4 linked regions of the Diceros bicornis minor genome follow. Each later gene encodes a partner of the first gene's protein in a complex. Links are inferred from orthologs where the notes say so. Each region holds a gene or a part of one and is shown on either strand. Other genes may lie near its edges. The genes, in order: POLA1, PRIM1, PRIM2 and POLA2.

Region 1 (7,366 bases):
ATCCCAGAGAGGTATGCTTTGCCTAGGAGAAATGGGACACATCATGGGTCCAGGAGAGGGGCCCTGCCCGACTGCCACTACACCTCTTTATAGGCAAATAAGTCAAGAGAGGGGCTTTGCAACTCAGGTGCATGAGGAAATGATTTGAGCTTGGGCACCACCAGCTGCCCAGGGGAGTTGCACATCTACTCCTATCTCCTGGAATCCTTGTGGGACGTTGAGAGCATATGCAGCCTCTCTCATTGCTTGCCCATTTTCAGCTAGCAGAAAATCCTCTCTCCACAGCTGCATATAAACAACATTACCCAGTTGGGCTCAGAATCTTTGCATTTCCACAAGCTGATTTTGTCAATATACCCAAAGATAACCAGTTTCTCATGCTAAGAAACGCACACTGATATTGGAACCAGAGTCCTAATTTATTGATTGCAATGAGAAATATACCTGGCAGGAATGCCAGAATAGAATCCAGTTGGCTGGTTGTCAATCCTTTTAGAAAAAGAAGGTCCTGTTTATAAAAACAAAAAAAGTTGTTTGGGGAGTAGACAAATAGCTTGGGCTGGTATGGTGGCTCCATGGATGTTAGGGACCAAGGCTTTTATCGTTCTGTTCCACCATCTCAGTGTGTGGCTTTCATCTTCACAGTCATCTCATAGTCCAAGATGGCTGCTGGAGCTTCAGCCATCACATCTGTGTTACAGGAAGAAAGAGAGAAAAGGCAAAAGGGCAAAAAAGAGTCTCCTTTCAGATGTATCAGATTTCATTAAGCAGCCTTCCTCCAAGTCTCCCACAACACTACTGCTTACATCTTGTGGGCCAGAAATTAGTCATCTAGCTAAACCTTGTTGCAAAGAAGGCTGAGAAATATAGTCTTTTCCTCCATCTGTAACTGTGCACAGCTAAAAATCCACATTCCATTACTAAGAAGAAAGGGGACAATGGATGTAGTGGTAAGCAAATAGCAATTTCTTGACATATCTACCTTGTATGGTTATTAGGAAGATCAGTAAAATAGGTAAAGCACTGACATCGTCCAAGAAATTGATCATAACCAAATGTATTGACTGCCAAAAGTTTCTGCCAGTTGATATACTTGATTTTGTTTACGTTTGACTATCATATCCCTTCAGTTACATTGATACCAACACCCTCATGTAGTAACTAAAAATACAATAATAATAATAGCTATTCGTTGAATGCCTTTTAGGTGTTGGCATCTTAACGGCACTTAGTGGCATATATGTATTATTTCAATTAAATTTCACAATCGCTCCTTAGGTAAGTATAAGCACCTCAGTTTTATAGAGGAAGAAACTGAGGTTTCAGTAACCAGCCAAAGGTCATATAAAAGTAGTAGTCTAAGAATCAAACCCTAAATTTGTCTCTACCTGATGTTGTAATGCCTCCCAACATAATTAAGGAGAACAAATTGTAAGCAAAAAGAATCTATAATGCTATCATCTGGAGAATATATACTCAATTTTACATATTGCTTGTATGTATATAGTGATTTGATACATAGTTGCAATTAAGTGTTCATATCACTTTGCCCTCTGCTGTTTTCACTTTATGAAATATCATAAACACTTTCCATGTTTTGAGTTTTCCCAATTATTTTATCTTTTTGAAGTCATTCATTAAACCTCTTCTCTGACATAGACATTTAGGTCCCAACTTTTTGCTAATGGAAAATGGCAGCCATTAATGTCTTTGCACTTTTTTCGTTTCTATTGAGTTATTTCCTATTAACTTTTGCCTGTGGAAATAACAGCTTGAAAGATAAAAGCATGCTTATGGTACTTGTTACATATTACAATATTATTTTCCAAAAGGTTGTACCAATTTACACTGCCACTGGCAAAAATGAGTGGTTCCTCAACACTACAAGCTTACCAGTAATGGATAGAGTTTATATAGAGAGATATAAATAAAAAGATAGAAAATGGTGGAAAATAGTATCTCAAGTTAGCCTCAATTTATTTTTCTTTGTTTGTAGTAATAATAAGTGAAAAAAACAAATCTTCAGTTTGCAAGACCAGTGCAAAACTGGTCCTGCGTTGGATAGGAGAGAGCAAGTTTAAGACAAATTGTGATTTTTTTGCATGATTAGATAACAGAGGTAGAGTTACAGTGAAGTTAATGAAACTTAAGCTTCAGAGCCTCCCGTTTGCAAATGGGCCACTTCCAAGGCCCTGGGAGATGCTCTAGCAATGGTCTTATGTTTTTGTGAAAATTTGCAAAGGTAAGATATTTTAACTGCAATCTGTTATGACTACTTTCTACTTGGTGGTTTGTTGGCAAACTGTCTCTTTCAAAAAAAAAAAAAAAGGCCTGATTTCTGATTTGCTGCATTTGCTAATTTCCATGGTGTAAATACTTCCTCCATGGCTGATTTCAAGCTACCAATAGTTTAACAAGCATATTATAAAATTCCTAAATATGTAACAATCCGCTCTTGAGAACCACCATTTGTCCCTCTGATACACTTCCCTTCCTACCTGGTGGTGGTGGTGGAGTGGGCACAGTGATCTTGGGATTCTACTATGGGAAAGTTGAGTTGGTATTGCAGTGAGTTTTGACGTAGTGGCATCTATTTATGTGGGTTGAAGGCATGTTCGTATACACCTAAGTTATTGATAGACCTCTTGGTGTAGAAATAGCTTCCAGGAATATTCCTACCCTACTGTGCTGACTTGGAGTTGTGACCTGAATGTGCAAGGCCAGAAGTCGTATCATGATATGAAAGTGTCCTACAGGTCCTGGCCCCTGAAGTATATGGGTAGTGAAAGAGAAACAAGATTTGAAATGCTTAGAGGTCTAAGCTGGCATATAGAAAATGATCAGATGTGTGAAATTGTAAGGGAAGGATTTGGTTCTTATTGATGCCTAGCCAAAATGCTTCTCTCATATTAGGAATAAACTTGATAATACAACTATAGAAGTTCCAACAATTTTTTTAAAGGGAAGTGTAGACATAAATATCTACTAGTACTTTAAACAGTGAGTGTAACTAAGTGTGAATTACTATGTTATGTATCACAACATATGCATTGTATTTTACCATATTAAATAATGAGTTATGAAGCTGAAAGAAAATTTTCTAAACAATCAGAAATTAAGAAACAAACATTGATCAACCATGCTAGAGGCTGATCAATAAATTATTGATCAACTGATAATTGATAATTATCTTTATATCCTGAGATATAAAGGATATATCTCTGAATTATTTCTTTAGAGAAAATGATATTACAAAATTGTCACATGAGGAAGGCATAAACAAGTATGTGGGCAAAAAACATAGGAAAATATATTACAACCGTGTGACAGGTATTACTTCATAAAAATGTTACACCTATTTGGAAAAAGATAAAATGAGATGCATACATTGCATGCATTATACCATACACAAGAATCTAATGCCCTTTTTGTCTTTCATAACATTGACATTTTGGAGGAATCCAGGCCAGATGTTTTATAGATTGTCCTACGCTTTGAATACATCTGATTGTTTCTTCATGGTTAGATTCAGTTCAGGTTAAACATTTTTTGCAAGAAGACTATATAGGTGATGTTCTTGCTTTTCCCAAGTGCATCACATGAGGAGGCATATGATTGCCCCTTATTGGTGTTGCTACTTTTGGTCATTTGGTTAAGATGGGGCATATACCTTTAAGTGTTGGCATATATAGAAATAAATCACACAGCTACTGTATTCACACTCTGAGAAGCAAAGTATCAGGCAAGACCTAGAGTGCGCAGCAGGAGGCAGTCGCTTTCCCAGGCTCGCGGGAAACCGGTCTAACCACGCCCACCCTACTGCCCGCCCGCGTCTCTTTTCCCATAAAATCACCTCTCAGAACCAGAGAGCCCCTACTCCAAGGCGCCCAAATCTTTTCCCATCGGCATGGGCGCGCCTGCGCAGCGAGTCTCCAGGCGGCTCCTCTCCAGCGCCCGACCGCTTCTTTTTCTTGCTCTCTTCGGCCTCCCCTTCTTTTCCCTAAGGGGTCATCACAGGGCGCCAAACGCGCGCCCGCGGGAAGGCTGGGGGCGGGGCGAGGCGCTGCGCGGCATGTCAGTGGCCTTCCGGGCGGAAGTCCGCAGCCGCCGGAGGCGCTGATTGGCTTTCGAGCTGGCGCCTGTCTCGGCCCCCGCGCCAGTTTCGGGCTGGTTGGCGCGGAATCGAGAGTCTCCGGGACCATGGCGCCCGTACACGGCGAGGACTGTGAGCTGGGGGCGAGCGGGGAGGGACACCCCGCGCGTGGGGTCCCGGGCTGGGAGTGCGGGGACCGTGGAATGACTGCGGGTGGTGGGGTCTCTGTTTTATTTTGTGTTAAGGAGGCGTGCGCCCGGGTCGCCCCGCGGGGCTATTGGGCGCGGACCTCGGTTGTCCTGGGCTGGGACCCATCTGCGTTGGACGAGGCTTCCTTGCAGGGGTCTTTGCTCCTGGCAAACCCGAGCAACCCCCCTGCGGGGCTTTTTGTTTGGGAGGCTGACTCACCTCTATCACTGCAGGTCTCCGCACTAGCCTGCTTTTCTTTTTATTTCTTTTGGTGAGTCCCATGTGCTGGGCACAGCTTTATCGAGACTGGCCCCGGTGGGACACAGTCTTGGCCGAAAGTATGTCACTACTCCCGCCCCAAGTGTCCGCTTAAGGGCTAGGACAGAACGGATGTGCGCCCTCTCCTTTATAGAAACTCCCAGGAAAATTCTTATACATTGTAACTAAGCAGGAAAGAGAGCCCTAAGTGCTGTCACTAGAAGATCAAAATGCATTTTGTCTTTTTAGGTAATGTGTTTCTGCTTTATGCGTTAACAATTTTTCTTTCAAAATCTATGGAAAGTTCATCAAGTGCTGCATTAAAAAAAAGTGTTCACAATCTAGTCATCTCTGGTGAAGCTTCTAGAGAAAAATGCCTCAGTTCAGCAGCATTTCGAATGCCTTGTATATCACTCTGTTTTCAGTGGTAATCTTTTATTTCCAAAAATAGAATGCAAAAATGCAAATGGCTTTGTCTGATTTCTGATTTTTGAACAGTGTTCAACTAAAGTGTGACTTAACTTCAGTGAACTTCTAACTTAAAATCAGATGCTTCACTTTCTTAGCTCAAGCGGCATATCTCCTGTCACTCAAATATATCACCATTAATGAGAACTTCCTTCCTAATCAGCTTCCTTTGCATGCACCTAGTTGTGAAGCACAGATTTCAATTTGTTCTGCTAGCCTTTCATTTTTTAAGACAATTTATTTTGGAGAGTCGACTAGGCTGGATTACAAATGGGATATAGGATGTGAGTACGTGAACAGTCTTTGCAGCCCTCCATCAGTGATTTGCCACTAAGCCCTTTCTTCACCCTAAAAACTGTACATCATCTGTGAACATCAAGAAATCACTCTTTGGAGCATACTCTGCAATCTTGAGACCTCTCTTAAGTCATGGTGTTGATTAAGTAGTCGCTGGGGACTTGTGACTGGAATTTTTCCTTTAGAGCAGACTGAAAGATTGTTACCTGAAAGACTGTTGCAGGCTAGTGTCTTCTGCTTTTGGGAACGATGGGAGTATGCCAGATGGTAATTTTGAAACAAATATTTAAGCTTTTGTAACTGGATTTTTTTCACGCTTATTCTTTTTTGCTAACTTACCCACATGAAGCATTGGAGACATATTCCAAAAAGGAAAATCGAGGCCTTTTTTTTCCCCTTAAGTATTAGACGGTGGGGTACCTTGACAATGGCAGTGAAAAGTTGAAAGGTCTGTAACTAGCTGTTATTATATATGAAAAGGGATTAGAGAGTTTAATGATCTAAAAAAGGCAGGTACAGTGATTCATTTATTTGTTCATTCAGCAAATATTTATTATGTATCTACTTGGCATAGGCATTCTGCCAGGCTCTGGTGTTACAGTGGTAGGTAAGCAGGACATAGTTTTTGTCTTCATGGAGTTGAGTGGTAAACATCTAATTATATGCAGTGCTATATTGAGGCTTCCCTGAGAAAACTGCTTTGCTTTATTTTTTGCTTTCTAGAGGCTAGACCATGGTACTGCTAGGTGTGCTGTGTGTGGGGTGTGTGTGTATGTGTATGTGACTTTTCTGCATCTATACACATACACAAACATTAAAGGAGCTTCTCCTGTATTGCCGAGTACAAAGTAAGCCAAGCATCTTCATTTAATCCTTAACGACTTTATGAAGCATACATGATTATCCCCATTTCACAGATGAGGACCCTGAGGCTCTGCATTGGTCAGAGTCCTTAGGTGTCAGCTGCAGGAACCAACTCTATCTGATTTAAACAAAAGGAATTTGTTAGAATGATATTGTATTGTTCACAGAAATTCCAGGAGGACTCGAGAGCCAGTCTGGGGGCTGCTCAGCCAGGAACAGTGATTAAAATCGTGTCACAAAACTGGTCCGGTGAGGAGGTTGTTGCCATCCACTGCCAAGTACTTGATATTATAGCTTGTTCCTTGGGACATTGTTGGCGCTGTTGCCCCAGGCACTCAATCCTCCTGCAGTTGTTGCTGCTTCTAGAATCTTCCTTCAGCCCACCCCCTTTCCTTATGACACTAGCTTCTGATTGAAATTCTGAGCAGGTGTTCCTGATTGGTAGAGCGTATTTTTTTATATGCCCATGCCGTAGCTGCAAGGGTGTCTGGGAAAGAGCATCTGCCTTTCAGCTTCTGTAGTGGGGCGTGTGTTTTGTGTCCCATCAAGACTTATAAGGGGAGAATTTCACAAACAGGTTCAGATGCTGGGCCGCTTAAAAAAACAGCAAGACAGCTGGCCACTGCAGCTCAGAGAGGTTAACCAGTGGTGTCATGTCACCCAGTTAAGTGGCAGAGTGGGGTAGTGCTGCTTCTCCCTAATCTCTTGTTCTCCTGCTCACTCTATGCTCTCATGTCGAACTTACCTCCCACACTGACTTTCTCTCTGAATACACCTTGCATTTTCGTCTCAGTAATTTGGCTCATGCCTTTTCCTCTTCTTGTGCCACTTTTTACTCTGTAAAAAGTGATGAAATGTGAAATTCTATTCTTCTTTCTGGCTCTGTGTTGGAAACCTCCCTTGTGAAGCCTTCCCTGATTTCCCAGGCAAAATTAATGGTTCTTTTTTCAATTTTTCCTCAGTACTGTGTTTTTACCTCTTATATGGCACCATCTTTATGTGATGGTGGGAGCCTCAGGTCCTTTTGCTTTACTTGACTGTGAGCCCCTTGAGAACAGCTAACTCTGTGGTATTTGTAATTGTATCCCAAACCCTGTAGAGTGGTACATTGTTGCCTGTGGAGTAAGTCTGTTTGAAGACCTGTAGATTTTGTCAGGGTAACCTACTAAAGGAGTCAAGAGACTCTTGAAGGGAATA
Region 2 (8,116 bases), on another chromosome or scaffold:
GGAGGATGTGCTCCACCAAAACAAGGGAGTAAACCAAAAAGAGAAGATAGGATCTGGACAACAGGGGATCCAACATAGGAGAGAGGTGAAAGGAAACCAGAGTGATTACAAGATGATATTTATCCATCAGGCTTAGAGAGCAATCAATATAGGTTAGAGGTCAGAAGGCTGCAGGAGAAATTTCTTTAGGATGAAATTGACAAACTACCTGATAGGTCTGAATACATTGGGAGTTTTAAACAATTTGCAAAGAGTTTGGAGTTGAATTAGTGATCTAACCCTAATTTTTTTTTTTTTTTGTGAGGAGGACCAGCCCTGAGCTAACATCTGTCACCAATCCTCCTCTTTTTTGCTGAGGAAGACTGGCCCTGGGCTAACATCCCTGCCCATCTTCCTCCACTTTATATGGGAAGCTGCCACAGCATGGCTCAACAAGCAGTGCATCAGTGCATGCCCGGGATCCGAACTGGCAAATCCTGGGTCGCTGCAGCAGAGTGCGTGCACTTAACCGCTTGCACCACTGGGCCGGCCCCTGACCCTAATTTTTAATCTAACAAACATATAGGAGCACGTGGGAACGAGAAGGTTGTATGTGTGGTGAGGGTAGCAAGTGAGGTGAAAGAAAGCTAAATCCTTATCTGCCAGAGTGGAAAGTCAACAGATAATGCTTGAAATGGAAAAACGGAAGAAATATAAACATGTTATTTAGAAACAAGGAGGTGAATACTTTATTCAGCTAAAAGAAAGTGGTTGCCTCTGGGGAGCAGAAAATAGGAGGAGTAGTAGGAGACATCTGTTTTTAAAAAAAAAAAAAAAAGGTCTACAGATGCCTGTCTCGGCCCAATAAAAAAATACTTTTCCTCCTTCAGTGTTAGGGAGATGGAATAGAGTGACAGACACCCTGACCCTTCTATAGAGACTTCAGTTTTAATCTCCACCTGTAAAGAAGAGTAAACTTCTTCAAAATATTTTTCCTGCCTGCCTTTTCTTATCGCTTCTCCTCTTCCTCTAGGATTTAGAGTTAGAAAACCTGGGTTCAGGTCCCAGCTGTATCATTTAGAAATTGTGTGACCTAGGGCAAATTATTTAAGTTCTCCAGGCTTGTTTTCTCCTTTGTAAAAAGAATAGTAAGGATTGATATGAAAAACAAGATATACAACGTATGAAAAAGCCCCATACAAAAGCTATTATCCCATGTGTATATTTCCCCCCGACATGTGTATTTTTAAGGAAAGGAAGAAGGACAACTTTGGTATGTTCCTTCATTCAACAAATATTTACAGTGTACTCTCCCAGGCACTATTCTAGGCACTCAGAATATATCAGTGGCAGCGGGTAGGAGGGGTGGCAGGTTGCAGCGGGCCTCAGTGAGTAAGGACTTGAAGGAGGTGAGGGAATGAACCAAGAAGATATCTGGGGAAATGGATTCTAGGCAATGGAAACTGCTTGAGCAAGGGCCAGTGTGGCAGAGGTGGAATGAGTGAGGGAGAGAGAGGGGCTTTTACTCTGAGTGAAAAGGGGAGCCACTTCGGAGAATGGTCTTGAGCAGAGGAAATTACAGAATCTGACCTGTTTTAAAAGGATCACTCTGGCTGCTGTGTTGAGAATAGACTCTCAAGTTTACAGGAGCAAATTGTTAGGAAGTTTTTAGAGTAATTCAGATGAGAGATGATAGTAGTAGCACTGGTAGGATTCTAGATATTATTATGGTAGAGCGAAAGAGATTTTCTAATGGAACAGATACAGGAGTGTGAGAGAAAGAGAGGAATCAAGTGTAACTCCAATGCTGGGAGAGAATGTAATTCTCTTTTAATTCCCTCCCTTAAACCATGCTGACTTCCTCATTTAGTCTTTTGCCAGATACTCAATTTTTTTGTCCTAGTGAGAATACAACCAATTCACTTCCAAATGATTTCCAGTCAGTAATGTAGATTATCACAGAACAAAAAATATTACAATCCACTTGCAAAAACAGTTAAATAAAGCGTAGCTCTTCAACTAGAATAAACTCTAAAAATTTTATCTCAAAACGCTGGGGGCACCAATCCATTCTTGGTTTAAAAAACAAAACAAGATATATAAAAAACCGATTTCTTACTCTGTGGGAATATACTGCGCCTATATCAATCTTGTATGGATTCATTTTCTGCATCTCCTTTTCCAGATCACTCTGGTTGTTGAAGGACTGGTAGCGAATGTAAATATCATCTTTCAATGTGAATGAAAATTCACGGTGTTGAAAGTAATTCTTTACCACTGCAAAATAAATGTATATTTTAAAGTTAATTTGGTACTTTATTCAGCTCAGAGCATTATAACATTAACCAATGAGAAGATATTTTTAATGAGCTCCCTGTGCCCAGCACTGCGCTAAACATGCAAAAAAAAAAAAAAAGACAAGACCTAGTCCCTAATTTGAAGGGGCTTACCATCCCGCATCTGATAGGGAGAAGTAAAAATGAGGAAAAAGATGCAGAAATATTTTAAATATGTAATGCCACCTCTCTCTCCTCGGTGGGCACTAATAAATTCAACTGCGAAGAGTTAAGTACCTCTCCTCTCCCGGGAGATGCCCCAGTCCCTGATGCAGATCATCACGCTCACGCCCCACTGACCCCCCGGCTCAGGCCCGCGGCAGGTAAATGGGGCGCCGAACGTGAGTCCGACCACGTAGTGGGAGGAGCAGCGGCTGTGCTTTTCACTGTGTGGCCGTAAGCTGGTCATCACAGCCTCTCTCGGCCTATTCACACCTCAGAGGTGGTAGGGAGGGCTCGAGATAACTCCCGAAGGTACCCGGCACACTGCCTGGCGCACAGCAGGCACTTCATATTGTCATTCCCAGGTACCGGTCCGGAACCTCCTCCCCCTCTCCTCCCGACCCTCTACCCACCCCGCTCCCCGCCTCCATCACCTCCGCCATAGTTGAGCCAGCGATAGTACTGGGCGTAGGGAAAGAGCCTCCGGTAATAAAGCTTAAGCAGCTCGGGCAGCTCGGCGGGGTCAAACGTCTCCATGGAGCGCGGAACTCAACCCAGGCAAGATTACAGCAAGAATTGGCGGGAACCGTATAGCCTGAGCCTCCGCCACTGCGCAGGCGCGTCGTGGCCGCGACCCGCGTCTGCAGAGGCAGCTGGGAATTGTAGTTCCCACTTGGAGGTTGGCCCGGGCGCTGGAGGCGGTGCCGCGGGTCTCCGCCCACCTGCTCAGATAGTGCTAGGTCCACTGCTCAGGTGGGCAGAAGGAGGCTTCAGCCACTGCAAGAAGAAGATATTCTGCGGAAAGGTGAGTCCTTGAGCGTATTGACTTAGGTTATTAAGGTGAAGTAAAAAAGACGTTTTCTGCTAACTTTATGAATGTTTTATTTTTACTTTATGAATGTTTTATTTTTTATTTTATTTTTTTGAGGAAGCTTGGCCCTGTGCTAACATCTGTTGCCAATCTTCCCTTTTTTTTTTTTTTTAATTTTTTCCCCCCAAGGCCCCAGTATGTAGTTGTGTATCATAGTTGTAGAGTTGTAGCTCTTCTACATGGGACGCTGCCGGAGCGAGCATGGCTTGATGAGCAGTGAGTAGGTCCACACCCGGGATCCGAACCTGTGAACCCAAGGCCGAGGAAGCCCAGTGCGTGAACTTAACCGCTGCGCTACTGGGCTGGCCCCTATGGATGTTTTAGAAATAACACATTTAAAATATGTAAACCAGTATCTTTTCAAGAGGGTTTGGAAATTAGTTTTTCATAAAATTATTAGGTCTCATATGTGGAAATAAACGAAGACCAAACAAATGAGAAAAGCAAAGGCTATTTGTTCAGGGCTTGCTGTATAGCAAGGGAGTCAGCCACTGTCACCTGCGTTTTGGCAGAGACTCAAGGGCAAGCAGAGGAGTGGGAAAGCTTTATAGCGGAAACAAGAGAAGGTTTCAGGTGTGCCCTGATTCAAGGCTGTTTACGTGGGGAAGCTGCAGGGGGGCTAACTAGGAGCCGGGCATCCTATGTGGTTGGTTAGAAAGCATATTTGGCTTTCTCTAGTTGGTTCTAAGTTGCAAGTGGGGACAAAAATTAGGGAAGCTGTCAGTTGTTAATCCAGTTCTGGCCATTTTGGGCCTATTGTTACAGGGGTTATTGTTTGGCTTCATGGACTATCACTAGAGACAGCAGTCTGACTTCCTACAAGTCTGACTTACAGCAGGCTGGCTTCCTGGGCTGTTTATTATAGCTAAGGGGGTTGGTTTTGAAACTGAGAACGAAGAAGTTAAAATCTTAGAGCAAAACCTTTGAGATAAGCTTTGCTAACTGCAGCTGTGCATACTCAGCATAATCAACTGTTGTTTAACCGGGTCTTTCTGTCCCTCCTTAGTATATGAGTCAGCTGTCTTTTCCAGAAATTTAAGGTCCAGACATCAAGATTCAGCCTCACAAGACCAAACACAGGCTGAAGATGAAAACTAACCAGAAAAGTCCGGTCAGTCAAGGGAAAAGAAATTCAGTCTTCAAGGCCAAATGCAGGCTGGTGGGAAGGTGCCAATCAGCAGGGCCGCATGCTCCCCCCTCCCCCCCCCCCGCCCCAAAACCCCAGCACATGCTCCTCCTCCCCCTAAAACTGTGATAAAAACCTCTACCTTTTTCCCTTCAAGGAGGTGGATCTGAGTTCTAACTCCCATCTCCTTGTCTGGCTGCCTTTCCATAGTAAACTTCTTTCCTTGACGCAAGCCTGGTGTTCCAGTTGTTGGCCCTCTTGTGCAGCAGGTGAACAAACCTGTTTGTGTTCAGTCACAGTTTCCCGGGTGGGCTTCTGCAGATTGTGGGTCAGAGTTCTGTTTTCATATATGGTCTGGCCATTGTTTGTATATTCAGTCTCTCAAATAGAACACCCAGGAATACTAAAATCTGAATTGGAGGAAGCTTGTAGAATCATGGCGAGCTTTGCAAGTATGAAAGGAGTGTGTTTCCTATTGATATGCAGGTCTGCCGATCATCTCATTGCAAATGGGGACTGGGGTGGGCACTCTGATAATCACATCAGTATCATATGTGCCACTTGAAAATGATCATTTTCATGAGTTTTATTTTTACAATAATAGTAAGAGAGCAAGGAGGGAATAGAGTCTCTAGTAAGTTATTATTAGCCTAATCTTGAAAATGATCATGGTCCCTCAGCCTATGGGCAAAGTGGTCAAAAATGGGCTTTGGACAGATCATATTTATTTGAATATTCCTAGATCTGGCTTCCTGCACAAATCTTAGTTGATTTTCCCAATCCCTATGCATCCGGTTTTGGGCAGGGTGAATTTCATTGCTAGGAAGGTCTTCACTCTAATAATGGTAACAAGAGTTCCCTGTAGAGTGCTGTTTTCTGGAACCACATCCCCCTGAACTTTTTAATGGAGGTTTCTCAGCTTCCTCATTGCTGTCTTTAAGAACTGACTTTTTTGGGCTATTCAGGAGTCCCCTATTTAAATTTCAGGACCACTAAGGAGGGCAACACCTTACAGAGCTAAGACATAAGGAAAGAAAGCAAAGGAAATTGTATTTATTGAGTTCCTAATGTATGCTCGATTTATTTAACGTTAGTTTCTTATCAGGAAAAAGGGAATAATAATAGCTAATATTTATATAGCATTAGCTATGCTGTCAAGTACCATTTTAAGAATTTATTCCTCATCAAGAGCTCTTTGTGGTAGGTACTAATATTATCCCTATTTTACAGGTGAGGAAATATGCAGGGAATTTAAGTAATTGGTCCAAGGTCACACAGCTAGTACATGGGAGAGCCAGACAGCCTGGCTCGAGTCTGTGCATTTAACCCCTATGCTACATGCTATGTCTGTACAGTGGGTTGTTGTGAGGGTTAAATGAGATAGAGTAAGAGGTGCCTGGCACAGTTCATAGCCCAGGAACACTCATTCTGGGGAAGCTATAATTCTGTAAAAGTGCTCTAGTTAGCGGCTTTTATCCCAGGTGCCATTGGGAGGCAGTATTGCCTTTCAGTTGGTTTTCCCTCGTGATTTCATCCACAGAGGTGCAAAACCCCTGTGTCCTTCAAGCCTTACACTATCTACCAGCCTCTTTACATTTAGTATTTATGTCTACTGTCATTCTCTTTGGATAATCTTATCAGTCAGCTTAGGTCTCTCTCCCCAAGATCTTTGCAGGCTTGGACACCTACCTCGTGGACTTCCCTTCCCTTCCTACTGTTATTCTGGGTGTTTTTAGCATGTAAAAGGATGATATATTTGGTGAAGATGTGGTTCATTTGGTAATTCTTTAACTCATTCATTTATTCCACAAATAGCTAGTGAACATTTGTGTTGGGCATTTAGCTAGGCTCTGGGGAGAAAAAATTAATGACAGGCATAAAAATTAATGATAAGATTGGTACAGGGAGACAAGCACAAAGTGTGAACGGCACGGCACTTGCAGGAAACTGCCAATAGTTCCCTATGGACAGAGGTCAGACTTCAAGGTGATACCGGCTCAACAGACGGTTGACATGAGGGAAGCCGTTGTAGAAAAGAAACCCTATTGTAACTTTGAATGACCTCTGATTAGCTAACCCAGACATGCTCTGTAGATTTTACGGCCCCTACTGGTGCTATAAGTTGATAACTTTGTTCTTTTTTGTTCCTTAGGAATGTGATGACCCTCTGGGCAGAGTCTGTGCTGATAGCCATCATCAATGAAAACTGAAAGATCTGGTGTGGCGACTCCCAGTCTGTAACACCAGAGGGTCAACATTCCTAAGCCCCTCCCCTATAACCCACTGGCCTATATAACTGCTGTAAGATTTTGTGCCCCCTTAAGATGGTTCTTTTGGAGATTAGTTGGCCATCTTCCCCTTTGCTAGCAAGCGGTAATAAAAAGTCCTTTCTCTCCTGCCTCCTTGCCTCTTGACTATTGGCATGTCTTGCAGCAGGCAGACAATTCCCCCATGGGTGGTAACAAAGGGAAGGCATAGTGAGAGATGGGGCTAAGAGGCAAGCCATGGCCAGAGCATTGCATGCCAAGCTAAAGAGTATGCACATAAAAATTATTTATCTTCCATTTTTATTCGGCTTTGGTTAAAATACTGATCATATCAGTATTTGATGAGAAGCCTTGGGAGTAAATAATCTTATTGAAACAAGTAAGTTGCAAATTTGAAGTACTCCTGTGCTAGTTATTTTCCTCCTCAATAAGATAAGAAAGAGAATATTAGAAAATATATATTTTTTGTTGACACAAGAGCAATAAATAAAGGGAGACTACCTAGGTGGGGCCAAGGTCATATTTAAGTTTAATTTAAATTGTGTAATTCTGTCTCCTGTTATCATAAACTACTGTAAAGTAATAAAGAGCACCCTCATATTTGTTTAATGCCAAAGTTTTAATTTAATCTCACAGGAATTTTTTTTTAACTACAAAGCAAATGATAACCACAAAGCAGATAAAACGTGTTATAGGACATTGTGTTTGTTCTTTAATTTATATAATGGATTTAATATGTGAAATTGAATTTTTTCACTTAAGCTGTAAGTTAACCCACCAGATTTTTGATAAGTAACCTACCAATATACATATTGTATACGTTCTCTTGTTGGTCATAAAACTACATACTCTTTGGATCTAGCTTTCTCCTTGTAGACTGCTTGAAATAAAAGATGGCAGATCAAGTCAAATCACAACATCAAACCTTGTTCCTCCACAGGAATTTGGATTTGTCTGAAGACAATGGAGAGCCTTGGAAAGCTTTTAAGCAGGGAGAAACATAAAGTTGTGTTTTAGAAATAAACTTTGGAGCCCTGTGGAGGACAAATAGGAGGGGAGAGAGCAACCAGAGGCAGAGCAATCCCAGGAAACTTGCTGAAATCCAGGTGACAAATACTGGTAGCCTGAACTAAGGCCGTCAAGTGGAGATGGAGGGGTTTGGGTGGCCATCACTGACTTAAGGAGGTAGAGTTAATATTGATTGGATATGAGGGATGAGGAAGTGGTCTAGGATGATGTCCCAGGTATCAAGCTTGGGCAACTGGATGGAAGGGGCTTATCGGGCACCTAGTGGACGTATTACCGCACAAAATTGGAGTTCTCTGCCCAATGCACATAAACAAGCCAGTTAATTATGGCATTAGCCTTTGGGGGA
Region 3 (7,439 bases), on another chromosome or scaffold:
CCAGATGTCCCCTAAGTCCAGACCTGTATGCATATTCAACTGTCCACTAGACATCTCCACAAGCACCTCAAATTCATGTCTAGAACTAAACTTAACATCTTCCTTCTAAGACTTGCCCCTCCTGTACATCACATCTCAAAATATCACCACCATCTGCCTAGCTGTCCTAACCAGAAACCTGGTGTCATTCATAGCTCTTCTCTCTCTTCTCCCTGCAATCAGTCACTAAAATCTTTTGATTCTACCATCTTAATATCTCTTCAATCAGTCCTCTTCTCTCCATTTAATTCACTATCCTCATTTCCAGGGTCCTAACTGGTTTTCCTCCTACCAAGCATGACCCTGTCAATCTGCTGTTGGCAGTCATTTTCCCAAAATAAAAATCTGATCACATCCATCAAGATGCAGTTCCAGCACTACCTCTTCTGGGAAGCCTTCCCAAACCTCCCCAGTCTGGGCTGGGTAATTATATGTGCTCTTGGAGTTCCTGGAGCACACATCTCAGAAAAGCAGTCATCATCCTGTATTGCACAGGGTACATGTGGCAGTGTCTGGAGACATCTACCAGGTAGAAGCCAGAGATGCTACGGAGCATCCTACAATGCACAGGACCTGCACCAAGGAACTATCAGGCCCCCAATGTCGACAGTCCCAAGGTTGAGAAAACCTGCCATATTACAATCATCTGACTACATATCAATCACCCCTAGTAGAGTGCAGGAAGCTTCAGGCAGAGTCTATGCTACATTAGTCTTTTTTAAAGCCCTGTACCTAATACAAACCCTCTCTCACCACTGATACTCAGTACGTGAATATATACCTACTGAAAGAATTTTTTTTTTTCCTCTTTTACTTACTCTGTAGGAAAACTTGAGTTTTCGAATCTCAGACTCCAACTTACTCTGGTATGGCTCGGTCCCTTTCACATAGCTCACACCAAGATTTTCAACTGATTTTAGTACTAGAAAATATTTTAAAAACAGAAGAAAGGAAAAAATGTATAAATGCAAGATAATTTTTAAAAACTAAATCCAAGACAAATAAAATCTATGGATAGCAATTCCATAATTACTTGTTTATAAAAGATGACAAGTTGTAACAGTTTCATTTGCTGCAAGTACATTATATAAATTACATATGTTTATAAGAGGCTAATCTCCATCCATGTGCAGAAAACACCCACGTCCCACAGCATAATCTAATACCAGGGATTCTCAGCCAGAGGGAGGGAGTGGTGGGGGACAATCACTGCTGAAAGGAACCACCACTGTTGAGGAATGGAAAAGTGTGTCAGTATGGAAAAAAGATTAACCATCCCTTGTTTGCATCCCTCATGTGGAGCTGTCTGTTAGGCAGTCTACTTCATTTACTGAGCACAGAATCATCAGAAGCCCTTCCTTTCCTGATGAAGCAGAGAAGGCAAAGACACAAGAGTGAAGAAGCAAGGCCCTCCAATCATCTAAGTGAACTGTTCTGAATAGATGCTACATACTGTTCACTGGTTCCTAAAGCCCCTTGTCAATACTTCCTCAGATAAAGTCTTCCTCTATCAATATGAAAAGAGGCATTTTTAAATTCAAGAATGAAAAACTTCTAAAAGGAATAATAAAATAAACCCATGTCCCACAGGTGCTATTATTTCTGTTTCGGTTCATGCCAAGCTCATTCCTTTTTTCCACCAACACACAGAGGATTAGGAGGCCCGACTACAGTAGCCACATCCTTCTTACACCCCAATATTGTGCCATCAGCTTGGTACAAAATGCCCTTAATTATCCATACTTCTCCATCTACTCTGAACTTGTTACTGTTCCCACAAATGACATTCTTTCTCATGCCTCCAAGCCTTTGCACAGCTTGGAAAAACCTAGCACTTCTTCTCTGTTGAGAAATTTCTACTCATCCTTCAAGGTCCAGATCACATTCAACTTCTCTAACAAGCCTTACTTAATCAGACTAAGTCAGTCACTCCCACTTCAATGTCTCAATAGCACTACTATTTACCTCTACTAGAGCACTTAAAATACCAAATTCTGATTATAATTTTGGATGTCTGTCTCCGTGTACTGGAATGCAGTTTCAACAAAGGTGAGAATTACATTATTCATCTCAAAATCCCTGCCACTAGAATATAGTAGCACTCAATAAATATGCACCGTACAGTCAATAAATGAATGAACAGCAAACCTTCAATAAATATTTGTTGAATGAATTGCTGAACGAAGGAAATAAAGTACCCACACTCATTCCCACAAAGTACAAGTGAGGTTCTCAAGAATATATAAATTCTAATTCACATATCACTCACATTTAACTCTATCGATAGCCAAGTTTTCAAACTCTATCAAAGATATGTTTTCAGAAGGTGGCTGCAGGTAAAACTGAAGGCTGTGAGGGTAGGAAGCGTTCCTCTGGTCACCTGCCAACCTCAGCTTCCTCCGCTTTCCTCCAGAAAACTGCATCTTGTTACCTTGTAAGGAAGCATATAAAATGGTTAAAATGATGGAAGGCGGAGTTGAAAAAAAAACAACAAACAAAAAAATAACTCCACATGCACAGGGAAAAAAAACTGAAGTTGAAGGGCATGCACAAAATGTTAACAGTGGTTATCCCTGGGTGTTTGTTGTCTCTCTGTTATTTTCCAGATTCTCTACAATACACCTGTAACAATTTGGTCATGGGGGGCGGGGGGCGGGTGCTAGGGAAGACGTAAGTGGTGGTCCTAACTTTCAGCACATGCAAGTCAGGTGATGTCGCCTGCTCACTATAGGTCTGTGTCCCACCGTCCTTAGATGTCTGCGGTCTCGAGAGTTCGGATGAGGTTTGACACGAGCTGCAATCCTGAACTCGGAGGGAAGCGCGGCAGGTTCGGGCGAGATAAGAGACTTAATGGGCCGGGTCCAGTTACTCACTTCCTATCCGATAACCCTGGGAAACTGAACAACTGTCTTTCGAACCCAGTCTTTCGGAACTCCTTTTAGGGAGCATCCACAAGTTCTCAAACTCCCACCCCGATCCTCCCCCACTCTCCTCCGGCGAAGCTCTCTCTCCTCCCCTCGGCGGCACCTGCACCTCTGCCCTAAACAACCAACCCACACCCCAGACCCTCACCCCCGCCAGGGCAACCCTGCTCCCACCGCCCGCAACGTGCTCTCCCTGGTCTCTCGACTTGCAAGCCTCAACACCAGGATTACTGTCCGCCCTAAATCCGCGGGAGTTTCTCTTACCCGCAAACACACCAAACGCGAAAACACGCAACCGCTGACAGCCGCTCGCCCGAGTGGCGGGAGATTTCTTATGGAACGGAAGCGGAAGTGGCTGGCCCGCAAGTCCCGCCCCCTGGCTGTCCCGCCCCCCGCCCCGCGCGGGCCCTGCGCATGCTCAGTAGGCTCTTCTGGGAGCCGAGAGTGTGCCGTCTCTTTTGCCAGCTTCAAGTTTTTTAAATATGGGTGTCTTTGATTCCTAATTTGAAGCTGCGCGTCCTGTATTTGGAGTCGGTAGCTTTTACCGTTGAAACTGGGGTGCTAGAATGCTAGCGGCAAAAATTCCACACGCCAAGAGTGAAGCAACATAATTTGGTTTGGGGCCGCTGGCCAAGATTCCCTAAACTGAAAATGGGGCGCTTTCACCCGCAGGGCTGGCACTCATCACTTTCGATCTGGGGGAGGAATAGAGGAAGAATAGGCATTTACTGAGGTCGTTTTTTGCACCCGGCTCAGTATTAGGGGCTATGTTTTTTCTTGTTTAATCTTTCAGCGACCCTATAAGATAGGTCATATTACTCCGATTTTACAGATGAGAAAACAGAAGCTAATGCCCATCTATGTACAATACATATTTTGTTTTTTCTATCGGACAGCAAACCCCATGAGGACAGACTACGTTCAGTCCACTCCCCTCTCCCCGCCACAACCCTCGCGCATAGGAAGCGCCCAGCAAACTATCTGGAATGAACTAGAATGAATGAATGCGCACATGCAGAAATCGCTCCGGGGTCTACAGAAATTAGAAGAGATCAGGCTCAGAGGGAAGAAGAAGCAGGGGTCGAAGAAGTGGAGAGCGCTGGGGAGAGAGTGGAGCTCGGACTGCAGACTCGGAAGCGGCGGGTCAGAGCCTCACCAGGTGTCCAACGAGTCTGTAGGGTTTTCAAGAGCTGGAGTAAACTTCACTGTGGCCTCGAGGAGGCGTGTCTCACTTACAAAAGTGTTCGAGGAAGGCTCTGGTAAAAGTAGTCATTGGAGGTGAAGAGCGCTTTGAAATGTTCGTTTTTAGAAATGCAGAGTATGTTGAAACAATATCAAGCTTCAAAGCACCTACCCAGCATGGACCAAACTGTCGCTGGCACTAACTTTGCACCAGGAAGTGTTCTAAGTGATTTCCATGTCAATTCATTTTATTCTCGTAAGCATATGAGGTAGGTTCTATTATTTTACCCATTTTACAGATAAGGAAACCGTAGAATAGAGAAGCTAAGTGACTTCAAAGATCACATAGGAAGTGACAGAGCCAGGTTTGAAGTCAGGGAGACTGTCTCCAAGCGCCACAGTGCTAACCACCACACTGTACTAATTCCATAATATGACAGCAGTGCCTCACCTGAATTCCCTCCTCTATCAGACACGTAATTAGCATCACCTGAAAAAACCTGGATCCCAGACCATAAAAACATTTACATGAATTTTTATCTGATCTCTGGATAGGGAAGGAATTTAGAGATAATAAATAACAAAGAAAAAATCTAAAGATTTGACTACAAAAATATAAAATTGTGTATCGAAAAAAATTACAAAGTTTTCTGCAGTCATCAAACTGGGGGAAAGTTTCACCATAAATATCGTATCAAAAAGGCTAATACTGTCAGGATGTAAAGAACTTATATAAATTAATTAGAACAAAATCCTAAAACACAAATTGAAAAATGGGAAAAGAACAGCAACAGATAACTCATAGACAAAATAACTAACGATATAAAGTATGGGAAAAAAATGTTTATCATTGGCAGCAAAGAAATTTTCCCCTACAAAATTGGTAACGATTTTACAATGAAAATACTCAATGTTGGGCAAAGTACAGTGTGATGGGCTCACATAGGAATTGATTGTGGTACAGTTTGGGCCACTGCCTCACGGTGAAGAGTATTTTCTGTATCCGGAAGCAATTGCAATATAGATCTACATATCACAGCATTACTAATGCACGATAATGTTATACATTTCAGTAGCCATATTTGGTAAATCACTGCAAGCTCTTTCATGTATTTATTCCATCAACAAAAATGGACTGACACAATGCTCAGCCCTGGCGACCAAGATGCATATAAATTACAGACCCCGACCTCACAATCAGGGGGAGGAAAATACATATAAACATATAACTTTTACTTCTACTAGACCATAAGCATCTGAAAAACAGGGACCACTGTGTCATTCATCTTTGTAACCTCAGTGTCTGGCACTCCGAGGCCCCTCAACAAATATTTATTTTATTGAATTGATGTAAAATGTGAGAGATGTATGAAAAAAGTGATGGATTCAGCTTGACGTTCAACAGATGGTTTGAATCAAATATGACTCCAACCTATAATACTTCAAGTCCTCATCTGAAAACTTCATACACATTCCTTCCAGAATGACTTGGCTCCCCAGTTTAGCTTGTAATAAAGCACAGAGTACCTTCCCTGACGGAGTTTCCATGACTCATCACTGCTCAGTTCAGCACCTGCCCTGGGCATTACCAGCTACAAACAGACTGTCCCACAGGGTACTCACCCCTCGAAGACTCCACAGCTCCAGAAGTTCTGTCCTGTAGTGTGTCACACTTCCAGCTGAGATTTTAGTTGCCATGCTTGGTAAATCAAAGTGAGTGTTCATTCTTCCCCTGTGCAGGCTGTGTCACCTAAAAACCAAAGGCGTGGTATGTTTCTCTATCCAGCGAGGACACTATAAACTCTAGGTCCTGCCAGCTCTGCTCGCCATGGAAAGCAGAAAGATAGGAGGCATTTCCTGCGGGATAGCTGACACATAAAAGCCAACGCACAGTTAGCCAACCGCTGGTCCCTCTGCCCTTTCCACTTCACTGCCCACCTCTGGGGCATGGCTAGGGAAGAAACCTCAAGGAGCACCTCGTTCTTTCCCCCTTTGCTTCAGATTGCTTTTATTAGTCTAGCATCAAGGAACAAGGGAACTAGAGAAAAAAACATATTCTTAAAGGGAAGTAGAGGGAGGGAGGGTTACCCTTCCATATGTCCACATTACGTGATTTGTTCCAGAAATACTAATTGAACACCTACTAAGTGCCAGGCATTGTTTTCTGCGCTGGGGATACAACAGTAATGAAACAGCCAAAATTCCCTGCCCTCATAAACCTTATATCCTAGTGGGAAAGAGAGACAATAAACAAGAGAAGTATCCATATTACTATGTTAAATAATAACTGCTAAGCAGAAAAAATAGAGCAGAGAGGGAGGATATAAATTTTCTTGGAGGAGGCATTGAAATTTTAGAAAAGGTTGCCAGGAAAGGCTGGCTAAGAGTGTGACCATGAAGCAGAGACCAGAAGAAAATTAGGGATTTAGTTGTGTGTATCTTTAGGAGAATAGAATTTCAGGCAGATGGAAGGCTTATCACAATTCCATAGTATTTAAGAAAATGTGATATTGATACAGGAATAGACAAAGCAATCAATGGAACGAATAGAGAACCCAGAAATGGACCCACACCTATGAAGAAACCTGGTATATGACGGATCCACTGTACAAATCAGCGGAGAAAAGATGGACAATTCTGAATGGTACTGGGACAATTGGCTATCAATATCGGGGGAAATGTATTTCCTACCTCTCACTATACACAAAAATCAATTCCAGATGATTTACATGTGAAAGGGGAAACTTTAAGAATTTAGAACAAATATATAGATGGTCTTTATATAGCAAAGAATTTCTTAAATAAGACATTAAGGGAAAGCACTAGCAGTTCTGGAGATGGATCATGGTGATTGTTTCATGACAACGTGGATATACTTAATGCTGCTGAATTGTATACTTAAAAATGGTTAAAATGGTATGTTTTCTGTTATGTATATTTTGCCACAATTTTTCTTAAAAAGCACAAGCCTAGAAGGGAAAGACTGATCATTTCAACAACATTAAAATTAAGAACTTAAGCTTAAAAGTCACATAAAGACATATATTTTTAACGAGCCACAAATTGGGAAAAGAAACTTGTCAGACGTGATTAACACAGGATTAGTATCAGAATATAATCAATAGGAAAAAGATAAAAACACAATAGAAAAGAGGGCAAAAAAAAAAAAACCTGAACAAGTATTTCACAACAGAGGAAACATAAATGACCAATAAATGTACAAAAATAGTTCAACTATATTAGTAATTGGGGAAATGCGAATTAAAACCACAGTGAGGTAATACTGTACACCCA
Region 4 (7,516 bases), on another chromosome or scaffold:
GCTGGTCTGGAAGCCTCCCCGGGGAGTGGCCACCTGGACCCAGAGCTGCCCCTCCCTCCCCCATAGGTAGCCTGGGGTTTTGGGAAAACAGGATGTCACCACACGTGACATTGCTTGTATTTTATTCCCCCACCAAACCATTCCTTTGAGATGACAAGTCACTCAAAAAAATCATGACAAACCCTCCCCACCCCAGGCCCGCAAGATAATAAGGTTATTCACGGTTTAATAGGAATTATATTAATTATATAATATCTCATTAACGAAAAATAATGAACATCTATATTGGACTATATTGCATACAAAACAGCTACATGATCTTTTTTTAAAATAAAAGCTTTATTGAGATAATTCACCCTTTTGAAGTGTACAGTTCAGTGGTTTTTAGCATATTCACAACGTTGTATATTCACACTGTTGTGCAACTGTCACCACTGTCAAATTCTAGAACATTTTCATCACCCCAAAAAGAAACCCCATACCCATTAGCCGTCACTCCCCATTCTTCCCTCCCCTAGCCCCTGGCAACCACAAATCTATTCTCTGTCTCTATGGATTTGCCTATTCTGGACATTTCAAATAAATGGAATCATATATGTGGCCTTTTGTGTCTGCCTTCTTTCACTTAACATAGTGTTTTCAAGGTTCAGCCATGTTGTAGCATGTATCAGTAACTTTATTCCCTTTTATGCCTGAATAATATCCCATTGTATGGATACACTATATTTTATTTATCCGTTTATCAGTTGATGGACATTTGGGTTGTTTCCACTCTTTGGCTGTTATAAATAGCGCCTCTATGAACATTCTCATAGAAGTATTTTTGAATACATATGCTTTCAATTCTCTTGGGTACATACCTAGGAGTGGAATTGCTGGATTATACGGTAATTCTATGTTTAACTGTTTGAAGAACCACCAGACTGTTTTCCACAGTGGCTGCACCACTTTACATTCCCATCAGCATGTTTGAGGGTTCCAATATCTCCACATCCTCAACAACATTTGTTATTGTTCATCTTTTTTATTACAGCCATCCTAGTAGGTACGAAGTGATATGATTTGCATTTTCCTAATGACTAATGAGGTTAAGCATGTTTTCATGTGCTTATTGGCTATTTGTATATCTTTTTCGGGAAAATGTTTATTCAAGTCCTTTGCCCATTTCTAAACTGGGCTGTTTGTCTTTCTGTTGTTGAGTTGTAAGAGTTCTTTATATATTCTGGCTACTAGACCCTTATCAGATACATGATTTGCAAATACTTTCTCCTATTCTATGGATTATCTTTTCACTTTCTTGATAGTGTTCTTTGAATCACAGATGTTTTTAATACAGGATCTTTCAAATTAAAGTGAAGGTTTATTTTATCATTATAAAAGTGACACATTTTATTACACCCATGAGTTAAAAGAGGAAATCCTTCTTTAGTGATGTTGGGTACAATTCAGCAGCCATTCCTAATAAACTCTAAGGAAAAGAGAACAAGAAGAAAGCAACTAAACCTTGATTATGCATTCTTAACACAATCCAGTAGCAACCATGAAACAAAATGAGGCCACACTGAAGCCACTGCCGTCAGAAACAGGAAGAAGGCGAGGACACCCACTGTGATTAAGCACTGATTCCAAGGTTTGGATCAATGCGCTAAGACAGGAATATAAAATGACTAGTATCATCCCTTTGAAAACAAGGGGAAAAAGATATCTTTCTTTGTAAATAATATAATCTGGAAACTCTGAGACTCTCCTAAAACATTAAAATCAATAAGAGGATTTTGATAAAATCACTGGTTACAAGAAATATGTACAAAACCCAATAGCTTTTCTTTGAACTGGCAATGACTAAATAGAAAACAGTATGGGAAAAATATTCCATTCACAAGGGCAACAAAAAATATTGTGACAAAATTGAACAAAAACAGGATCTATATGGAAAAAACTATACTTGGATTTCATGTCATATCCACACATCATGAAACATTATTCTTCTTTTGGTTTTTTTCAACCGTTTAAAAATGTAAAAACTATTCTTAACTTGCAGGCCTTACAGAAACAGGTGGCTGGTGGAATATGGCCTAAGGGCCATAGTTTGCAACCCCTGGTCTATGTAGAAAGAGCTTCTGCAACTTGGTAAGAGAAAGGAAAGGAAAAAGATGTAAACACATGAGTTGTACAAGAAGAAATTCAAATGGTCACTAAGCATTTGTGACAGGAGGTGGAATGAGATCTTTCCTGTTATTAGAGTACAATATATGAGAAACAATCCCACACTCTAGAGAGGGTCTTGACATGCTCTTGAAGGCTTTCTAGTAGAGACCAGAACCAGTCCTTAATTATCACTCCTTGTTACCCATTTCCAGATAGTAATAGACAACTCATAATTCAGAAAAGAATTGAAAGAGGGAGGAAGGTTGGTGTCATGCCTACCCTATTTGACACTGAGAACACATGACTTGTTTAACCCTCCCTCCTCTATACGACTATTTTTAGTAATTATCATGTAATGAAACTATACCCAATATTGAAGGCGTTACATATTTCAAAATAGATTATGCCATTGCTTCAATAATAACTTCCTCTTTTGCTTTTTATTTTTCTTTATTGTGCTCTATTGCAGCAAGGTCTTTTCGTGTTGGGACAATGCCCTCTTCGCACTAATCTAGGCACTGCTGTAAAGGAATTTTGCAGATGTAATTACAGTCCCAAATCTGTTGACCTTAAGAAAGAGACATTATCTGGGTGGGCCTGGCCTAATAACATGAGCCCTTTAAAAGCAGTTTCTCTGGTTGGTGGAAGAAACCTCTAGAAAAGAATGCAGTTTGGCCAACACCTTGATTTCAGCCTTGCTGAGTGGAGAACCCAGGCATGTTGTGCCCAGGTTTCTGACCTACAGAACTGTGGGCTAACAAATGGGTGTTGTTTTAAGCCACTAAGTTTGTGATAAATTATTGCATAGCAATAGAAAACTAATACACCCTTTATTGCCTGTACCCAGGAGAACCACGCCCGCTCTCCACCCTGGGTACCCACCAGGAAGAAGCCTTAGGGGAGACTAAGGTTGTTTTGTCTCTCTACCCCGCCCCTGACTGCGGTTAATAAGCAAACTACACCCTGTTCCACCCTGCCGGATCGCAGCCAAGACAGGGTGCTCCCATTCTGCCTTGCATCTTGTCCCTCATTGCATGCCCTGAGGTTATCTCCTAGAAATGTCTGGCCTCTTTGGTGCAGTCTTTTTTTTTTTTTTTATGAGGAAGAGTCGCCCTGAGCTACCACCTGTAGCCAATTTCCCTCTTTTTTTGCTTGAGGAAGATTAGCCCTGAGCTAACATCTGTGCCAATCTCCCCCTATTTTTCATGTGGGTCGCCACCACAGCATGGCCGCATGTTGTGTAGGTCTGCACCTGGGATCAGAACCCAGGCACCTGGGCTGCTGAAGGGGAGCGAGTGGAACTTAACCACCACGCCATGGGGCCCAGTCTTGAGAATCACTGCTTTGGTAAATACCCATACTTTCCTTAATCAACCTCTACCTTTGGATGTTTAGTTTCCAATTTTTTTTATTGTATTTTTTTTTTATTGGAAATAAGACTACAAAGAACATTTTTGTTCATAAAACTTTGTCTGGATTTTAATGGCTAGTTTTCTTAGAACAAGAAATGCTGAGTCAAGGAAGATGAACATTTTTAAGCTCCTGATATATATTGCCAGTTTGTTTTCTAGAAAGACTACCAGTCTACCATTGCATTAGCAGAGTATGATGCTTAAGGTTATTTGATCTAACACGAGCCAATGGAAGATTCTGGCTCAAAGAATTAGGAAATATTTCAGGGGGAAGGCCCTCTTCTCATTTTACCTCTCAAGTCTCTCCCTCTTAGTGACCCTTCTTCACTCCTAAGGTTCTAGCCGCCCACTGGGATCCTCTACCTGGAAATCCCAAAGGCACACACCAGCCTAACACGTCCAAAACGAAGTCATTTGTCACCTTTCCACCCCTTTTCCACCCAAATGCCCCAGATCCAGAAAACACACCTAGCACTGTGGCTGGGACCAAGGTAATAACCTTGATAAACACGGCAACCAGATTCCCGTTAACCAAATCACCCTTTCAAGATGACTCGAGCGCACACGGAGCGCAGAGATGACGAGGGAGACAGAAAGGACGACACGCTCTTCCTCCCCCGCGTTGAGCACAGAATGGGACATTCGCGGGCATGTACACGACAGCGCCTGCGCACCAAGGTACAGGACAGAAGGGTGACGAACGTGCGTCACGGAGCTTCGCCAAGCAGGCGGTGCCCGGAAAAGAAGTCCCGCGGCTGCTGGGGAGACGCGGTTTCGGTACGGGGCACCAGGGACGCCGCGCGCCCGAGCCCCACGTCTGCGCCCTGCTAGAGACAACTGCGCAGCCGCCGTAAGGCGGACCGACCACCAGGCGCGGGCGCGCGCGCGTTGGCGTTTGTGCGCGTGCGCGCGCGGAGTCGGAAACCCGGAGAAGGAAGCAGAGGGGAATGGGTGGGGTTGAATCCGGCTCTCGCGCATGCGCGCGCCGCGCAAACCATTTGGCGGGTTTTTCTTGGCTGCTCCGTTCTGTTCCCGTCATTGGGATGCTCGGCGGTAGCTTTTAGGAGTCAGGACGTTCTCCCCAGGGGAGCGACTTCTCGAGATTTCTGCTCACGTCCTTTGGGCGTTTGGGGGCTTCCCTCACATTTAAAAAAAAAAAGTGTTTCTCTGTGACTGACGGCTGGGCCTTCTGACCGCCTGCGGTCTTGGGCCATTTGGTCACCTTCTGTCTTGGTCCCCCGAAGGGTGAAAGGATCAGAGGGACCTCGTCCTGCTCATCGATCTCCACGCCCGTGAGCTTCTTGGACTCAGGTCGGAGCTGGCTGGGCCCGGCCCCCAGCTGGGTCACCATGGCCGTGTCCGCAGAGCACCTGCTGGAGGAATTGCAGATCTTCGGCCTAGACTGCGAGGAGGCTCTGATCGAGAAATGTGAGTCCCTCGCCCCCGCCGCGGCCCCCAGCCCAGGTCCATGCTCTCGCCCCGTGTTCCCAGTCGCCTAGAACCCAAAGGGGAGTGCTTCCAAGTTTCACCTCCCCTAGGTCGGACTTCTCAGTGATTGTAAGACGAAGAATTAAGCTGAGTCTTGGCATTTGGGATGTGGGGACTTTGAATGCTCACGGGGTACTGCTTGGATTCCAACTCAAATATAAGACTATGAAGCACGATTTTAAATCAGCACAGTTCCAGAAAGGTGGAACTGGGACGTGCCAGGTTCAGACTAGGCCTGGTGGCATCTGCGGGTTTGGAAATTGTTTAAGCCTCAGAACAGAGCAAGCAAGATGTTGGGGTTTTGAAATGTAGCTTTTTATTCCTGGCTCCACCCCTTCCAGCCTACCCCTAAACTTCCGAGCCATCAATTCTCATCACAGCTGTTGGTGGTCTGTGCAAATATGAGTCCCTTGAGGTGGGTTCCTAAAATTGACTTTTAGCTTTGGAAGGAACTTTAGGGAGCTTGTCAGCTGTTTACAGATGGAGAAACAGACAAGGAGAGTTAATAGGCTGAGCTGGTCTCCGAACCCAGGTCTCCTGTCCCTGAGTCTAGTGCTCCATTATATTGATCCATTGTATTGGTCAGGCTCTGGGGTGGTGTAAGGAGTTGTTGGAATCAAAGTCCTGGGAGATATGGAAGTTCTCAGTTTTAGAATCAGGATGAATGTGCACCTGCCTTAACCATTCATCAACAGTTTGAGCTTCTTTTTTAATGTATAAAACCAGAATGCAAACAGTTCATTTCTCATGAGAGATCAAAATACTTCAAGTTCTTATGCCCAGTGCACTCTCTTCCTAAAAGGACACTTAAAGGAGAAACCCAATCATAATCAGAAATTTCTTTAGTGAGCCTGAAATCAAAACAAGAGAAATTAGTTGCGTGAACCAAATTTGTAAGTCCAAGATGCCTGTTGCTTCCATCTCACAAATGACTTACACTGGCACTGGAATTCTAGACTTTGAATTCATAATCACCGGCCTCAATGGGACTTTAATATTGCCTGACAGTTGTACCATATTTCTTTGGTCTATTCACTCTGAGTCTTCTAGATGACTCTCTTCTACCTTCTGCCCCTTTAACATCCTTCTGTCCTAGTCTCAGCTGATCGACTTACTTCCTGTTTCACCGAGAAAATAGAAGCCATTAGAAAACTTCCATAAGCTACTACCATTACTTCTTCCCACCTACCTGTGTCTGTGCCATATACCTCGCCTTTCTTCCTATGACAATGAATAAATTCTTTGCAAAAGCCAAACGTTCTACTTGAGTCCTAAATCCCATTCCTTCTCACCTTCGTAAGGATATCACTCCAGTAATTCTCACCTCTTATGTATTTACTGTTTTTCTCTCTATAAGATTTTTTCCATAACAGCATAGAAATGTGGTTCTTACTCCTGCCTTTAAAGTATTCCGTGGACCCCACTTCCCACTCCAGTTCTCTCCTTCTTAATTACAGCAGACCTCAAAAGGGTTGCCCATACTTGCTGTCTTCAAATTTTTCCTCCTTAAACCCATTTCAGTGGACTTTTTCCTCCTCACCACTTGATTGAAACTGCCCTTCTCAAGGTCGCCAATGACCTTCACCTGGCTAAAGCCAGTGGTGAATTTTCAGTCCTCATCTTGACTGATCAGCAGCATTTGACACCATTCATCATGTCCTCTTCCTTAAAACACGTTTTTCTCTTAGCTTCTTGGACACAGCTCCTTGTTTTCGTAGCTTCGTTGTCACCACTTCTCAGGCTTTACAGGTTCATCCTCATCCTGAGCCCCAAGATACACTCACTTCCTTGGTGATCTCACCTGGTCTCATGGCTTTACATCCCATGTGTTTGCTGATGATTCCCAAATTTATATCTTAGCCCAGACCTCTTTCCTGAACCACCGGCTGTCTGTCCATCTGGCTACTTGATGTCTCCAATTGGATGTCTAATGGGCATCACGAACTCTCTGTGTCTAAAACTAAGCTCCTCGTGTCTCCTCTCTCTCCTCAGAGTAGTTCCTCCTGCTGTCTTCCCCACTCAGTTAATAGCAACTCCACCCTTCCAGGTGCTCAGGCAAAAACTGGCAGCATCCTCCTTGACTCTTTTCTTTCCTCACACCTCACACCAATCAGCAAATCCCCCTGGCTTTACCTTCAGGATATATCCTATCCAGAATCCAATCACTTCTCACTGCCTCCACATTGAGCCAAGCCACCATCATCTCTCACCTGGATTTTGCCATGATTCTGTTAATTGGTCCCCCTGATTCTGCCCTTGTCTCCTTCAGTCTATGCTTAACACAGCAGCCAGAGTGATCCTGCGAAATGCAAGTCAGATCATGTTCCTGTTCTGTTCAGACCCTCTAGTAATTTCTCAGCTTGCGCAGAGTACCAACCAGGGTAATGACAGTGGCCAACAATCTGCACCCCCTTTACCCTTTCAACTCATCTTATTTTTTCTTTTTGGTGAGGAAGATCAGCCCTGAG

The links.
Region 2: the proteins of POLA1 (region 1) and PRIM1 are in contact, whole or in part, in a cryo-EM structure (PDB 7OPL), measured with the Homo sapiens proteins. The link is inferred for Diceros bicornis minor from reciprocal best matches to the Homo sapiens genes POLA1 and PRIM1. Residues at the interface, in NP_058633.2 of Homo sapiens: Tyr439, Ala440, Pro447, Glu448, Lys449, Ser450, Phe876, Thr877, Thr878, Gln880, Leu906; in NP_000937.1 of Homo sapiens: Asn92, Thr93, Val94, Lys95, Leu96, Gly97, Ala98.
Region 3: the proteins of POLA1 (region 1) and PRIM2 are in contact, whole or in part, in a cryo-EM structure (PDB 8G9F), measured with the Xenopus laevis proteins. The link is inferred for Diceros bicornis minor from reciprocal best matches to the Homo sapiens genes POLA1 and PRIM2. Residues at the interface, in NP_001082055.1 of Xenopus laevis: Leu842, Lys853, Ile894, Pro895, Glu896, Leu971, His974, Arg977, Glu978, Leu981, His982, Glu985, Gln988, Lys989, Asn991, Glu993, Asn1007, Asn1009, Arg1101, Asp1102, Glu1106, Gln1109, Glu1221, Asp1224, Gly1225, Asp1227, Ala1229, Leu1230, Met1233, Trp1234; in XP_018121015.1 of Xenopus laevis: Pro34, Pro35, Thr36, Glu37, Asn38, Ile39, Ser40, Leu41, Ile42, Phe44, Glu45, Ile49, Ile107, Phe110, Ile111, Leu114, Cys117, Gln118, Ser119, Glu120, Asp121, Arg123, Ala240, Arg241, Leu243, Val245, Val246, Gln247, Arg251, Leu252.
Region 4: the proteins of POLA1 (region 1) and POLA2 are in contact, whole or in part, in a cryo-EM structure (PDB 8G99), measured with the Xenopus laevis proteins. The link is inferred for Diceros bicornis minor from reciprocal best matches to the Homo sapiens genes POLA1 and POLA2. Residues at the interface, in NP_001082055.1 of Xenopus laevis: Gln548, Lys551, His553, Gln554, Asn555, Phe642, Glu645, Val646, Gln649, Asn652, Leu673, Gly675, Arg676, Phe679, Lys1137, Asp1141, Pro1143, Asp1144, Ile1321, Gln1322, His1324, Asn1325, Lys1326, Leu1328, Leu1329, Arg1332, Ile1335, Lys1336, Tyr1338, Tyr1339; in XP_018112289.1 of Xenopus laevis: Met280, Tyr281, Lys282, Phe283, Met284, Phe285, Gln286, Lys287, Leu288, Met289, Ile291, Arg292, Val295, Ser296, Ile299, Glu314, Thr316, Leu320, Pro321, Gln323, Glu324, Thr325, Val326, Gln331, Gly333, Cys334, Asp335, Ser336, Asn337, Gly338.

Annotation. Positions count from the first base shown.
Region 1 is NC_080781.1:20,729,352-20,736,717, forward strand, and holds the start of POLA1 (DNA polymerase alpha catalytic subunit), read left to right. Parts: upstream 1-4,151; 5' UTR 4,152-4,200; coding exon 4,201-4,225; intron 4,226-7,366. UniProt on the Homo sapiens protein: Catalytic subunit of the DNA polymerase alpha complex (also known as the alpha DNA polymerase-primase complex) which plays an essential role in the initiation of DNA synthesis.
Region 2 is NC_080756.1:12,129,464-12,137,579, reverse strand, and holds the start of PRIM1 (DNA primase small subunit), read right to left. Parts: upstream 3,061-8,116; 5' UTR 3,015-3,060; coding exon 2,912-3,014; intron 2,257-2,911; coding exon 2,099-2,256; intron 1-2,098. UniProt on the Homo sapiens protein: Catalytic subunit of the DNA primase complex and component of the DNA polymerase alpha complex (also known as the alpha DNA polymerase-primase complex - primosome/replisome) which play an essential role in the initiation of DNA synthesis.
Region 3 is NC_080753.1:10,098,068-10,105,506, forward strand, and holds the start of PRIM2 (DNA primase large subunit), read right to left. Parts: upstream 3,283-7,439; 5' UTR 3,228-3,282; intron 2,471-3,227; 5' UTR 2,463-2,470; coding exon 2,309-2,462; intron 962-2,308; coding exon 858-961; intron 1-857. UniProt on the Homo sapiens protein: Regulatory subunit of the DNA primase complex and component of the DNA polymerase alpha complex (also known as the alpha DNA polymerase-primase complex) which play an essential role in the initiation of DNA synthesis.
Region 4 is NC_080770.1:7,903,877-7,911,392, reverse strand, and holds the start of POLA2 (DNA polymerase alpha subunit B), read left to right. Parts: upstream 1-4,258; 5' UTR 4,259-4,337; intron 4,338-4,354; exon of another isoform or gene 4,355-4,804; 5' UTR 4,805-4,909; coding exon 4,910-4,988; intron 4,989-7,516. UniProt on the Homo sapiens protein: Accessory subunit of the DNA polymerase alpha complex (also known as the alpha DNA polymerase-primase complex) which plays an essential role in the initiation of DNA synthesis.